2 linked regions of the Anolis sagrei genome follow. The protein of the gene in region 1 binds, or shares a complex with, the protein of each later gene. Links are inferred from orthologs where the notes say so. Each region holds a gene or a part of one and is shown in the gene's direction. Other genes may lie near its edges.

Evidence for each region.
Region 2: the proteins of MAPK10 (region 1) and SH3BP5 are in contact, whole or in part, in a crystal structure (PDB 4H3B), measured with the Homo sapiens proteins. The link is inferred for Anolis sagrei from reciprocal best matches to the Homo sapiens genes MAPK10 and SH3BP5. Residues at the interface, in NP_620448.1 of Homo sapiens: Lys121, Asp150, Ala151, Gln155, Val156, Met159, Leu161, Glu164, Arg165, Tyr168, Tyr171, Val197, Lys198, Ser199, Asp200, Cys201, Trp362, Asp364, Glu367; in NP_004835.2 of Homo sapiens: Val341, Val342, Arg343, Pro344, Gly345, Ser346, Leu347, Asp348, Leu349, Pro350.

Annotation. Positions count from the first base shown.
Region 1 is NC_090025.1:19,260,934-19,268,250, reverse strand, and holds the start of MAPK10 (mitogen-activated protein kinase 10), read left to right. Parts: upstream 1-4,061; 5' UTR 4,062-4,751; intron 4,752-4,915; exon of another isoform or gene 4,916-5,067; intron 5,068-7,317. UniProt on the Homo sapiens protein: Serine/threonine-protein kinase involved in various processes such as neuronal proliferation, differentiation, migration and programmed cell death.
Region 2 is NC_090026.1:80,094,239-80,101,460, reverse strand, and holds the start of SH3BP5 (SH3 domain-binding protein 5), read left to right. Parts: upstream 1-4,154; 5' UTR 4,155-4,331; coding exon 4,332-4,433; intron 4,434-7,222. UniProt on the Homo sapiens protein: Functions as a guanine nucleotide exchange factor (GEF) with specificity for RAB11A and RAB25. Inhibits the auto- and transphosphorylation activity of BTK. Plays a negative regulatory role in BTK-related cytoplasmic signaling in B-cells.

The DNA of each region.
Region 1 (7,317 bases):
CTCATATATAAATACCTTTATCTGTTGTCTGTATTGTCATGGTATAATTGTCATTGAATGTTTGCCATATATGTGTTCTGTAATGTGCCCTGAGTCCCCTTGGGGGTGAGAAGGGTGGAATATAAATACTGGAAATAAATAAATAAAGTATAGCATTATACTTTATTAGAATGGTTTGGGACCAGCCTACCTTCGTGACCACATTTCCTTCTACGAACCTACATAATCCCTTTGATCTTCTGGAGCGGCCCTTCTCGCACCCCCACCCCCATTGTAAGTGTGACTTGTGGGGACGAGGGAGAGGGCCTTCTCTATGGTGGCTCCTCAGCTCTGGAGTTTGCTCCCCGGAGAAATGAGGCAAGCACCCATCCTGGCAGACTTCAGGAAGAGCCTAAAAACATGGCTGTTCCAGTGTGCCTTCAATGAATGAACAATAATCCCTGACCTTGACTAAACCACACATAAAAATTCCTTTGAATGCACTTTATTTCACCCTCTAGTGCAACTAAACCCCATTGTTTCATCCCACTTGAACCTCCTTCTAGATACACTACATTACTTATCTCACCTAGAGTTTTTAAACATTTTAATCTTTGCAACCGGCCTTGCCCATTGTGTTCTATTATTGTGATTTTATATTGCATTGTGTGCCTATTTTGTACTGTTTATTATTATTATTATTATTATTATTATTATTATTATATTTTATTGATGTATTATTTTATGTTGTATATTTGCTTTGTTGTGATTTTTGGGTTTGGCATTGTGTAAGCTGCCCCGAGTTCACTTGGGGAGATGGTGGTGGGGTATAAATAAAGTTTTATTATTATATTACACGCGTTACTGTGGCCAACCTTCCCTCCCTTTTTCTCTCCTCCTTTCTTTCTCTCCTTCCCTTTTTTCTTTCCTTCTCTCCTCCTTTCCTTCTCTTCCTCTTCCCTTCCTTCCCCCTTTTCTTTTCCTTCTGCTTTCTCCCCTTTCTTCCTTTTCTGCCTATTCTTGGACTGCAACACCCAGCAGTCCTCCTGATCCATCTACCTACCTATCTATATCGATTTATCTGGAGGATTGCTGGGAGTTGCAGTCCAGGAATAGGAAATGGGAAATATGCAGGGATTTGGATGCTCTCAAAGAAATCCAAGGAGAAGAAAGCTTGCCACTTAGAAGCAGTGCATTTGGATCATCCTCCTCTCCTAAAGTTCCTGGTCTAGGGGCTGCTGGGAGCTGTACTCCGGAAGAGAGTGTGGATATGCTATTGTGTGATTTGTTTGCCAGGGAGAGTCATTTTTGCACATGCTTTGTAGCATCTTTTAGCTTTTTTTTGGATTTTTAAGTCCCTTCTGCTGTGTTTTTCAGTGTTTTTATGAGTGATGGTCACTCGTTGGCCTGATAGGTGTATTGTGTCCAAATTTCCTGTCAATTCGTCCAGTGGTTTTTGAGTTATCCAGTGGTCCACACTCTTGTTACATCCCGTATAGACTACTGCAACGCACTCTATGTGGGGTTGCCCTTGAAGACTGTTCGGAAACTCCAACTGGTCCAGCGAGCAGCAGCCAGATTGCTTACCGGAGCGACATACAGGGAGCATACCACCCCCCTGCTGTGACAGCTCCACTGGCTGCCGGTTAAATTCCAAGCACAATTCTAGGTGCTGGTTATGGTTCCGGTCCAGCGTATCTGTCCGAACGTATCTCTCTCTATGTCCCACCCCGGAATTTGAGGTCATCTGGGGAGGCCCTGCTCTCGACCCCACTGCTATCACAAGTGAGGCTGGTGGGGACGAGGAGCAGGGCCTTCTCAGTGGTGGCCCCTCACCTGTGGAACTCACTCTCGGGGGAAATTAGGGCATCAACATCCCTCCTCTCCTTCAGGAGGAAGGTAAAGATGTGGTTGTGGGACCAGGCCTTCGGGCAATCTGACAATTAGACATGGACAGCCAGATGGATGGGACTGAAAGGACTGACAATTGTGGAATTGGAATTTTGAACTATGAGATTGCGAAACGCTGACCATCAATGAGGTTTGTATTGGTTTTTATTGCTTTTATTGGTTTTATGGTTGTCTCTGCCTATACTAATTACTGTTTTCTGTTAACTGTTGTTATTGCCAGAATGCTGTTTTGTTAACTGATGTTATTGTCTTTTGCTATATGTGATGCGGGCATCGAATTGTGCCTTGCTTTTGTAAGCCGCCCTGAGTCCCCCACACCACCCCCACCCCATCCCGGGGTGAGAAGGTTGGGGTAGAAGCAACCAAAATAAAATAAAATAATAATAATTATGTTAATCCCACAAACAAACACTACATTTTTATTTATATAGATTATTATTATAGTATCCATGGGGTTCTAGGACCCCAATGATCCTAACATCTATGGGTGCTCAAGCCCTGTTATATACACAGTGGAGTATTAAAATGGTATTCTTTACATAAAATGGCAAAAGCAGGCTTTACTTTTCAGATTCTTTCTGGGATTATTTGGAATGGGTAGATCAGGCCTGGGCAAACTTGGGCCCTCCAGGTGTTTTGGACTTCAACTCCCACCATTCCTAACAGCCTCAGGCCCTTTCCTTTCAGCTTAAGCGGCTGAGGGGGAAAAGGAAGGGGCCTGAGGCTGTTAGGAATGGTGGGAGTTGAAGTCCAAAACACCTGGAGAGCCCAAGTTGCTCAAGCCTGGGGTAGATAGATGCAGAATCCATGGATAGGGAGGCCAAAGGTAGCCTCAAACCTACTAAGGTAAAGCTGAATGCAGAAAGAGAAAGGTGTGGAACCGAAGAGCAAACCAAGGTGGTCCTTGTCTTGGACCAGATCAAGCACTTTGGGATTTAGTGCATGGCTGGGCTGCATCTCAGTGGTGGGAAGCTCTGAGTAGGTCATAAGCACCCTGCCCAGCCAAGGCCATTGCTCTGGCCATCTTCCATGCCAACTCGGCCTGAGAGTCCAGCTGCTATTGCTGATAAACCATCACAGAAGCTTATTCAGCGTTGCTTTTTTCCTATTTTTTCCCCCCTTGGCCTCGCAGATTTCACCAGGAAAGGAGGGGAGGGAGATACAATGGCTGGCGCTGCAGATTAGACTCCCCCTCTCCTCCCCTCCCCTTCCCTCCCTCCCTCCCTCCTCCCGAGACCTCGCTGGGCTTTGACGTCACGTGGGCTCCTTCCCCGTTGCCATGGCAGCGCCATTCCCCAAGCCGGCTCCCCCCCCCCTTCCTTTTCCCCACAATGGTCCAGCCGGCAGCATCAGGAGCATCCTCTCCAGCGCCGCCACCAAGCGAGGCCCAATGGTCTCCAGATTGTAAAAGAGGGTGATTCAGCAGGACACCTTCCCTTCCTTCCTTCCAGCCGTCCCTCCTGCTTCTTTCTCCTCCTCTTCCTCTTCTCTTTCTCCATCTCTCCCTTTCTTTCTGTGACTGATATTACGCACCAGTTTGAAGTCCATTGCTTCGTTTGCCTCCATCTCCAAAAAGAATAAGCTTTGGCACCAAATCCCTCCTTCACTTGCAAACCCCCCTCTCCCCACACACATCCCTTCCTATAGTTGACCATCACCAGATTCCCTATACACTCCCCTTTCTCCTTTCGTCGTTATACCTCTCCTCTCTCTTTGCAGATTCTTTTTCTCCCCTCTCTCTAATTTCCCCTCTCTCCTTTCCATCACCTGTTCGTCTCTCTCTCTCTCAATCTCCCTCTCTCCTTTCCATCTCCTGTTTTCCTCTCTCTCACTTAAAACCCTTTCTCCCCACATCAGACTCCCTATACACCCCTTTTTCTCCTTTCGCCTTTATCTGTACCTCTCTCTCTGCAGATCCCCATTTCTCCCCCCTCTCTTTCCTTTCTATCCCCTTTTCTCCCCTCTCTCAGTCCCCTTCTCTCCTTTCCATCTCCTGTTCTCCATTCTCTCTAAACCCTCCTCTTTCCTTCCTATCCCCTGCTCTCCTCTCTCTCAATCCTCCTCTCTCCTGTTCTCCTCTCTCTCACTTACAACCCCCTCCCCCCCCCACACACACACCTTCCTATAGTTGACCATCACCATACACCCCCTTTTCTCCTTTCGCCTTTCTCTCTATCTCTCTCTCAACAGATCCCCTTTTCTTCCCCCTCTCTCTCAATAGGGGGGTCATTTCCATCCCTGTTCTGCCCTGTCTCTCAATCCCCCCCTCTTCTTTCTATCCCCTTTCCTCCATTCTCTCTCAATCCCCCTCTCCTTTCCATCTCCTGTTCTCCATTCTCTTTAAATCCTCCTCTTTCCTTTCCATCCCCTTTTCTCCTCTCTCTCTCTCAATCCCCCTCTCTCCTTTCCACCTCCTGTTCTCTCTCTCACTTACAACCCCCTCTCCTCCCCAATACATATACCTTCCTATAGTTGACCATCACCAGACTCCCTATACACCTCCTTTTCTCCTTTCGCCTTTCTCTATACCTCTCTCTACAGACCCCCATTTCTCCCCTCTCTAATTCCCCCTCTCTCCTTTCCATCCCCTGTTCTTCCCTGTCTCTCAATCCTCCTCTCTCCTTTCCATCTCCTGTTCTCCATTCTCTAAATCCTCCTCTTTCCTTTTCTCCTCTCTCTCTCTCTCTCAATCCCCCTCTCTCCTTTCCATCCCCTTCTTCCAGCCCTCCAAGCTACCCATTTCCCTTCTCTCCCTCCCCAGTAAGAATGGGGCGCTTTCCAGAGACCCCTTGACGTCGCCACAAGGAGGGCCAAACCAAGACCCCGGCAAGAGGCGGGTCTGGAGCGCAGGCACTGGAATGGTAGGTGGTGGATGTGGGAAGAGATGGGGAAGGGGGGGGGGGCTGCTGGGGCTTTGAGACCCCCCTCCTTTCCCTTCCCTTCGTCTTTGTGAGAGGAGGCGGGCTGATGAATATTGATTGCTGTTAAAAATAATCGAGGGGAGGGGGAGGAGGGAGAGCGCGCGCGTGCGTGAGTGGAGGAGGGAGAGAGAGAGAAAGAGAGAGATAGAGAGAGAGAGGCAGGTTAATGAAGTAAACTGCTAAGAGAAGCAGCAGGGAGGCGAGAGCTGGACCGCAGGCCACCGGGAAGGCAGCATCCTTTTGGGCCGGTGTCGGGGTTAGTAGCCGCGGCTTGTTTGCATCTCTCTTTTGGGTCGGGTTTGGGATGCGATAGGATCTGCATTGGCTTCCCGGAGGAGGGTGGAGGGGGATGTAAACACAGGGCTCCTTCTGCTGTATCTTGTGCTTCTCTCTGTGCGCGCCCCCCTCCCTCTCCTGTCCTTTGAAAAGGAACCATGACTCTCATTATTTCATGTTTATTTGTTTTTCAATCGGGGAAGCATGGGCCAAGGGATGGGATCTGTTTGCAAGGGGGGGTTGGGTTGTGGATCACATCATAACAAAGATGGCAAGGTAACCATAATAATTAAGGTATTGTCGCTTTCATGGCTGGAATCACTGGGTTGTTTTCTGTCTTTTGGGCTGTATCCCTTCTTAGTATTATCTTAGTAAATGTCTTAGTATTATCTTAGTAATTATTATTTTAGTAATTGTAACAATTATCTTAGTAACAATTATCTTAGTAATTGTTGAAGGCTTGCATGGCTGGAATCACAGGGTTGTTTTCAGTTTTCCAGGCTGTATGGCCATGTTCCAGAAGCATCTTCTCCTGACATTTCACCTGCATCTATGACAGGCATCCTCAGAGGTTGTGAGACCTCACAACCTCCAAGGATGCCTGTCATAGATGCAGGCAAAACGTCAGAAGAGAATGCTTCTGGAACATGGTCATACAGCCTGGAAAACACACAACAAAACATAATAATTAATGTTTTTCTCTCTAAAAAAATCACTTTTCCTTCCCTGATTCTCATACCTTATTCTCTGTTTCCTCTACTCTCTCCCTCTTGAAAAGGAATCCAAAGTGTATCTCCCTCCAAAACTCTCTTGGTGGGATATTTCTCCCTCCCTGCATGAGATAAAGGTGAGGGTCCAGAGGTGAAAACAAGGGGATGGAAAATCCAAGTGGTTTTATTTTTGTCACCAGGAAGTCCTTTCTGAACATAAACATCCCACTGGCTTGCATAACAATTCTATGTACGCAAAGTGGATAAGAGATCCATCTTTCTTTTGAAGGTAGACCTAAAATTTAGGACAAGCATGAAGTGGGGGCGGGTGAGTGGGTGGGTAGCCGGTTGTGCCATGTAAAGGGACATTCTCCAATTGCATCTAAAGACTGCAGCAAAAGCAATGGAGCTTTTACCGGAATAGCCTTTTCGACAGCCCCGGCTTTTACAATTTGTTCGGATAGCATTTTTCTCCTTTCTGCAATGCGGGCCCTGTTAAAAGATACAAAGAGTTTGCATGGCTGTCTCTTGGAGGTCATAATTCAGTGGATCGGTCTAATGAGAGGGTTTGCATTTGTGTGCATGCTTTATTATTTTTTTATTATTTTCTTATCCTCAGTGGCCATAGGCTTGTTTACATGGGTGCCTTTTGCTGCAGAGCCTCACCGTTGCTTCTCCAATGCAGTTTTCCCATCTTCTCATCCGGCTCTCTGGGTGATTTCTTTTTCTGGTGTCTTGCAAAAAAGATGGCTCATCCATGCATGCATACACAGAACCTGGTCTCTTCTGTTTTGGTTTTTTCCTCCTCAAGGAGAGGAAAATGAAGATGGCCAAGGAAAGAAATAAAAGGGGTGGATGATAACATCGCTGTTTTGATTATACGGGTCTGCTGATCTTCTCATGCAAGGCCAATAAAGATGGGGGCATGAGAGAGAGAGAGAGAGAGAGAGAGAGAGAGAGAGAGAACTGCTGACAGGGAAGATAGACAGTGATTGTGTTGAGCTGAACCACATGCAAGCAGGCTTGCTTCCAATGACAGGAGAATGAAGAAGGAAGGAAATGATTTTAGGGCACGTTGGAAGCAGTTGGAGACGGAAGAATCCATGGTGTGTGTTCGAGTTTGACAGTTCTTTCCCTCCATAGGGCTCCTTCCCCTTGTTGTATTTCCAGTTTTGCCCCATCAGGTACCATCCATAGAGCTGCTGGATTAAAATTTCAAAACAAAGGAATGCAAAGGAGAGCTGCTGATGTGAAGCGAGGGGCTGTCCCCTTAGGATAAGACGTGCCAATAATAAAGCAGGACACATCTGACAACCCTAAATTATACTTGCTCATTTTTTTCTGGTGTAGAGTGCTTGGTTGTTCTCGTCCTCCCCCAACCCCCTCCCACCGTTATTGTTAAATGAATGACAGAGGTGGTGTGATATGAGCTATTCAATCAAAAGCCGGCCCCCTTCCCTCCCCTTTTCCCAGATGGACTCTTATTCTACCTCACCATTTCAGAGCATGTAATATTTTTG
Region 2 (7,222 bases), on another chromosome or scaffold:
CTAGGATGAGCAAAGAGGAACTTAAAAGCCACCGAGAAATAACAAGATTGTGTGAGAGAAAGCAAGCCGTTCCTGTTTCTCAATAGCAGTTCAGTGGGTAGTTTTGAAATGCATGAGCTTGTCACAACAAACTGCGTAGCCACATCCTCAAAGAATGGCCAGAAAATACAGGCAGGTGTGTTGATCAACAACTTCGTTTTGGCAGTTTATCCCAACCTAAAGGAAGTCTTTTAAAAAGTTAAAGGGTCCTAATGGTTCTTTTAAGACCAAGCCTCGTCAAAATACTCTGCAATGGGATTTGACCATTTGATTATTGGGTTGCTGTGAGTTTTCTGGGCTGCATGGCTATGTTCCAGAAGCACTCTCCTGATGTTTTGCCTTCACCTTTGGCAGGCATCCTCAGAGGTTGTGAGGTTTGTTGGAAACAAGGCAAGTGGGGTTTATATATTTGTGGAATGTCCAGGCTGGGAGAAAGGACTCTTGTCTGTTGGAGGCAAGTGTGGATGTTGCAGTTGGCCACCTTGATTAGCACTGAAAAACTTAGCAGCTTCAAACTTGGCTGCTTCCTGCCTGGGGGAATCCTTTGTTGGAATGCTTCTGGAATACGCCATACAGCCCAGAAAAATCACAGCGACCCAGTGATTCCAGCCATGAAAGCCTTCGACAACGCAAACACTACAGAGATGTTAACCCTTCCCTAGGCTATCCAAAGCTCTCTCTCTCTCTCTCTCTCTCTCTCTCTCTCTCTCTATATATATATATATATATGTCTGGAGTTACACTTAAAATGTACCTGTTCCCACTTACAAATTCAACTTAAAACAAACATATAGAACCTATCTGATTTGTAACTTAGGGACTGTGTGTACATTTGTTTTTACATAGTGGTTGGAGCTCTGTGGTTTTTACCCCATTTGGATCCCCAGATGTTATTGAACGACAACTCCCTCTTTTTATTGTATTCTGAAAAGTCTTTATATATATATATATATATATATATATATATATATATATATAAAATAACCTTAAAAAAACCCAGTTTCTGAAGTATAGCAACTACTTTCAAAACAATTACCCAACAATTAAACAGGAAATAAAATTTTCAAACCAGGAATAGATTTTTTCCCTCCAGATTTTGTTAGATAGTGTTATCTGCTATGAGGACTGGGGATAATGGGAATTGCAACGTATTAAAATAGGCCTGACTAAAACTATACTATGCCCCTGTGTTTCAGAGGTGGGGGAAATTTCTAAGGGATTTTAAAACCAGACATCATCCCACAAGCCTTTTATCTCATTCCAAACCCCACACTCCTGATTAAACAGAGCAAACTGTTTCATCTGACCAAAATGTACTATATCACAACTTCCAGCTTTGGTTATAATGTCTAATTTATGAAGAAAACAGGACTTGTTGTTGTCGTCCAGCATCGGGAGAGAGCCACATAAAAAGACAGAACAAAGCCAGGGCCTCCTTAATAATAATAATAATAATAATAATAATAATAATAATAATAGCGAACTGCAAAGACCCTGGCACAAACCAGTAAAGGTGGTCCCAGTGGTGATTGGCACACTGGGTGCAGTGCCTAAAGACCTTGGCCTGCACTTAAACACAATTGGCACTGACAAGATTACCATCTGCTAGCTGCAAAAGGCCACCCTGCTGGGATCTGCATGCATTATTCACCAATACATCACACAATCTTTCCATCTTGCTCTTCCTTTTTCCTTCCATTTTCCCCAGTATCATTGTCTTCTCTAAGCTTTCCTGTCTTCTCATGATGTGGCCAAAGCACTTCATCTTGGCCTCTACTATCCTTCCCTCCAATGAGCAGTCGGGCTTTATTTCCTGAAGTATGGACTGGTTGGATCTTCTCACGGTCCAAGGCACTCTCAGAACTTTTCTCCAACACCACAGTTCAATTTTTTCTTCGCTCAGCCTTCCTTATGGTCCAGCTCTCACATCCATAGGTTACTACGGGGAATACCATTGCTTTAACTATGTGGCTCATAATAATAATAATAATAATAATAATAATAATAATAATAATAACTGCAAAGACTCTGGAACAAGCCAGTAAATGTGGTCCCAGTGGTAATTGGCACATTGGGTGCAGTGCCTAAAGACTTTGGCCTGCATTTAAACACAACCGGCGCTGACAAAATTACCATCTGCCAGCTGCAAAAGGCCACCTTACTGGGATCTGCACACATTATTCGCCGATACATCACACAGTCCTAGATACTTGGGAAGTGTCCGACGTGTGATCCAATATAAAAGCCAGCAGAGTGATCTTGTTTGCTGTGGACTCATCTTGTTGTTTTTCTAATAATAATAATAATAATAATAATAATAATAATAATAATTTTTAAAAAAGATTTTAACGATATATTTTAATTGAAATAACTTGGAATAAAAAGAATGAGCTTTGGCAATAATGACATTCAAAATTTTTTCCCCACCCATGATAAATTACATTTTTGCTATGTAGTCAATTTGTTATGCATCTCCTTAATCAGTAGGTTTTTAAAAACATATTTTCTTATGTTATAAACACAAATCAATAAGCTAAATTTCAAGTGTTACACATATAAATCCTGAGTAATTCAACAAATATTAAAGACATTATGCTAATTTACACTGGTGTAGATTACATTATCCCCACCTTCCCTCCTCAACCACAGTATATTTCTACTAATCTTGCAGATCCAGCCACTTGTAGAGTCTTTGTATTTTTTCTTTGATGTGATCGTTGGCTCTTCCATTTTTCACCCAGTTGAAGCAGACCTTCCATCTGTTTATAATTATCTTTTCTTCATCCATTCTTGGTGCTTGGTTAGTCATAATTCCCGTAATATCTAACAACACTCGGTCATACATATAATCATTCCAATTACTTAACGTCCATTTCCATTTGTCTTTCCATCCTCTAGCAATAATAATAATAATAATAATAATAATAATAATAATAATAATATATTTTGAACCTGCCCTCTCTCCCCGAAGGGATGCAGGGCAGCTTCCAATACAAAGACAAATATTCAATGCCATATACCAGTGTTTCTCAACCTGGCTGGGACCCTTGGGGGGGGGGGGGGATTGTGAGAGGATGTCAGAGAGGTCACCAAAGTCCATCAGAAAACACAATATTGTCTGTTGTTCTGTGTGGGAAGTTTGGCCCAATTCTATCATTGGTGGAGTGACCCCTTAATACAATTCCGCATGTTGTGCTGACCCCCAACCATAAAATTATTTTTGTTGCTACTTCATAACTGTCATTTTGCTACTGTTATGAATCATAATGTAAATATCTGATATGCAGGATGTATTTTCATTCACTGGACTGATATGCCCAAATTTGAATACTGGTGGGGTTGGGGGGGCGGGGTTGATTTTGCCATTTGGAAGTTGTAGTTGCTGGGATTTATAGTTCACCTACAATCAAAGAGCATTCTGAACTTCACCAACGATTGAATTGGGCCAAACTTGGCACACAGAACTGCCATGACCAACAGAAAATACTGGAGGGGTTTGGGTGGACATTGACCTTGAGTTTTGGAGTTGTAGTTTGCCTACATCCAGAGACCATTATGGACTCAAACAATGATGGATCTGGACTAAACTTGGCATGAATACTCAATATGTCCAAATGTGAACACTGGTGGAGTCTGGGGAAAATAGTCCTTGACATTTTGGGAGTTGCAGTTGCTGGGATTTATAGTTCACCTACAATCAAAGAGCATTCTGAACCCCACCAATGATAGAATTGGGCCAAACTTCCCACATAGAATCCCCATGACCAACAGAAAATACTGCGTTTTCTGATGGTCCTTAGTGACCCCTCTGACACTCCCTCGTGACCCCTCCAGCGGTCCCGACCCCCAGGTTGTGAACCACTGTTCTAGAGCCTCTTAGATTGTAGACAAACTACAAACCACAGCAACTACAACTCCTAAATGTCAAGGTCGATTTTCCCCAAACTCCACCAGTGTTCACGTTTGGGCATTGCCACAAACAGTCATAAAAACACTGCACAATAAAATTCCCTCGGCAGCAGGTGGAGCAGGCGACAGAAAGAGCAGCCGCAGCCCAAGAGTGAGGCTCAGTTCCTCCGCCTTCCTTCCTTCCTTCCTTAGCGGCACCTAGCGGCGAGGAGCGGGAAGCATAAGCAGCGCCGCAAAGGAGAGACAGAAGGGGAAAGGAGAGGCAGGCAGAGCGTGGCAGAGCGCTTGTTCTGCCGAAGGAGCGGATTTGGGGGGAGAAAGACCCTCTTCCCCCCCCCCCTTCCTCGCCCTTCCTCGCCAGAAAGACCCCTCTTGCGACCGACATGGAGCCTGCTGCCAGGAAGAACAAGGCGGAGGAGGGCGAGCAGCCACAGCAGCAGCCGCAGGAAAAGGAGGAGGAGGAAGAAGTGGACCCCCGGATCCAGGTAAAGGGGAGCGGGAAGGGGCTGCAGAGGACCCCTGAAGGAGACCCTTCCCCAATGGCTGCTTGCTGGGTGTGTTTTTGCGGCAGTGTCAGCGTTTGGATGAGCCTCCCCTTTCTTCTCCCCTTGCAGCCGCGTGCCAGTCCAGCCCAGTCTCTTGCCTTGGGGGCGTCTCCCTTCTCCCCCATTCTCTCTCTTTCTGGGGTTCGGGAAAGGAAGCCCCTCCAGGTATTTTGGACTTCCAACGGATGTTAGGAATGGTGGGAGTCCTGGAGGGCCCAGGTTTGCCCAGGCCTGGTGTAGATCCACTTAAGGTGCTTAGGCGTTAATAGGCAGCAAGCCTCATCACCAATGCCTCTTCCTTCTATCTCTCTATCTCTATCTAAAAATGTAATGTTCCTTTGTGGGGTTAACATAACTCCAAAACCACTGGACAAATTGCCACCAAATTTGGACAAAATATACCCACTACCCCTAGGAGTGACCATCACTCAAAACAATGGATTTTGTCATTTGGGATTTGTAGTTGCTGGGATTTACAGTTCACCTAAAATCAAAGAGCATTCTGAACTCCACCAATGATGGAATTGAACCAAGGACTCCCAAAACCAACAAAAAATTCTGGAAGGGTTTGGTGGGCATTGACCTTGAGTTTGGGAATTGTAGTTCACCTACATCGAAATGTAATGTTAGTTTGTGGGATTAACATAACTTCAAAACCACTGGACGAATTTACACCCAATTTGGACAGAATACGCCTAACAACCCAATGAGTGACCATCACTCAAAGACTCCCAAAATCAACAAAAAATTCTGGAAGAGTTTGGTGGGCATTGACCTTGAGTTTGGGAATTGTAGTTCACCTACAGCCAAATGTAATGTTAGTTTGTGGGATTGACATAACTCCAAAACCACTGGACGAATTTACACCAAATTTGGACAGAATACGCCTAACAACCCAATGAGTGGCCATCACTCAAAAAAAAAAAGATTTTATCATTTGGGAGTTGTAGTGACTGGGATTTATAGTACACCTACAATCAAAGAGCATTCTGAACACCCCCAATGATGGAATTGAACCAAACTTGGCACATAGGACTCCCAAAATCAACAAAAAAATCTGGAAGGGTTTGGTTGGCATTGACCTTGAGTTTGGAAGTTGTAGTTCATCTACATCCAGAGAGCACTGTGGACTCAAACAATGATGGATCTGGACTAAACTTGGCACAAATACTCCATATGCCCAAATATAAACACAGATGGAGTTCGGGGAAAATAGATCTTGACATTTGGGAGTTGTAGTTGCTGGGATTTATAGTTCACCTACAATCAAAGAGCATTCTGAACCCCACCAACAATTGAATGGGGCCAAACTTCCCACACAAACCCCCCAAGACCAACAGAAAATACTGTGTTTTCTGGTGGTCTTTGGTGACCCTTCTGACACCCCCTTGGGACCCCCCCCCCCAGAGGTCCCAACCCCCAGGCCTTAAGGCCATCCAGTCCAACTCCCTTCACCAGGGCAAGAAAACATATTAAAAGCCCTCCTGACAAAGAGCCATCCAGCCATATATAGATAAATAATATAGATAGATAGATAATTCACACACACACACTCATATGTATATGACAGATATAGTGTCATAGATTTGAAAGGGACTCCTAAAGAAGGACAACAGTATGTTCCAGAGTAGGCAAACTAGACAATCTCTACATCAACACTGACAAAGAAACAACAAGAAATACTGTTTATCCACAAGCAGAAAGAAATTACATATATTAGAAACCAACACTTTCTCATTACTTTATTTTCCAGATCACTAGACTGGGCCACAGCAACATGTGGCAGGGGACAGCTAGTCTATAAATAAAAATGTAATGTTCGTTTGTGGGATTAACATAACTCAAATACCACTGGATGAATTGACACCAAATTTGGATATAATACACCTATCAGGCCAAAGAATAACCATCACTCATAAAAACATTGAAAATCAGAACGTAAGGGACATAAAATCAAAAAAATAAAAACTACATAATAATAATAATAATAATAATAATAATACTTTATTTGTACCCCGCTATCATTTCCCCAAGGGGCTTGGTGCGGCTTACATTAGGCCAAGCCCACAATACATTACAACGCATGCACAGAACCACACACACACATATATATGCAAACACACATGTATACACATATATACAAATATATATACACACACAAAACACATATACATAGACATGGCCACAGCAATGCATGGCAGGGGACGTCTAGTAGCAGTATAAAATGTCACCACAACAGCTTGTCACAATGCTTGAAATCTGCAGCCTGAAGCAGCCGCCTCACCTGGGTCGGCTGCCCTACAAAGTGGACTTTTGTTGGAAATGGAAATAACAGGAAAGGTTAGAGTAGGACAAAAGAGATGCCACGTCTATAAGGTGCACTACAAGAACATTTGAAGGTGGCGCATGTATTTGTGAATGCGTATCCAGAAGAGACATGCATTGTCTTGCATCCAAAGTAGATATACACTTGGGAACAGGTGTAGTGAAAGCTCAGGAGCATCACAAGTGATGAAATGCATGTAATGACTTAACAACTATTTATTAATTTATTTATGGCATTTATAAACCTGCAGTTTCTCACCCCAAAGGGACTCAGAGCAGCTTATGATATATATATATATATATATATACACACACACACACACACACACACACACACACACATACAACATATTATATTATTAGCATAGAAAAAAAGCATTCTGGAGGAAGCAGTGAATAGAAAG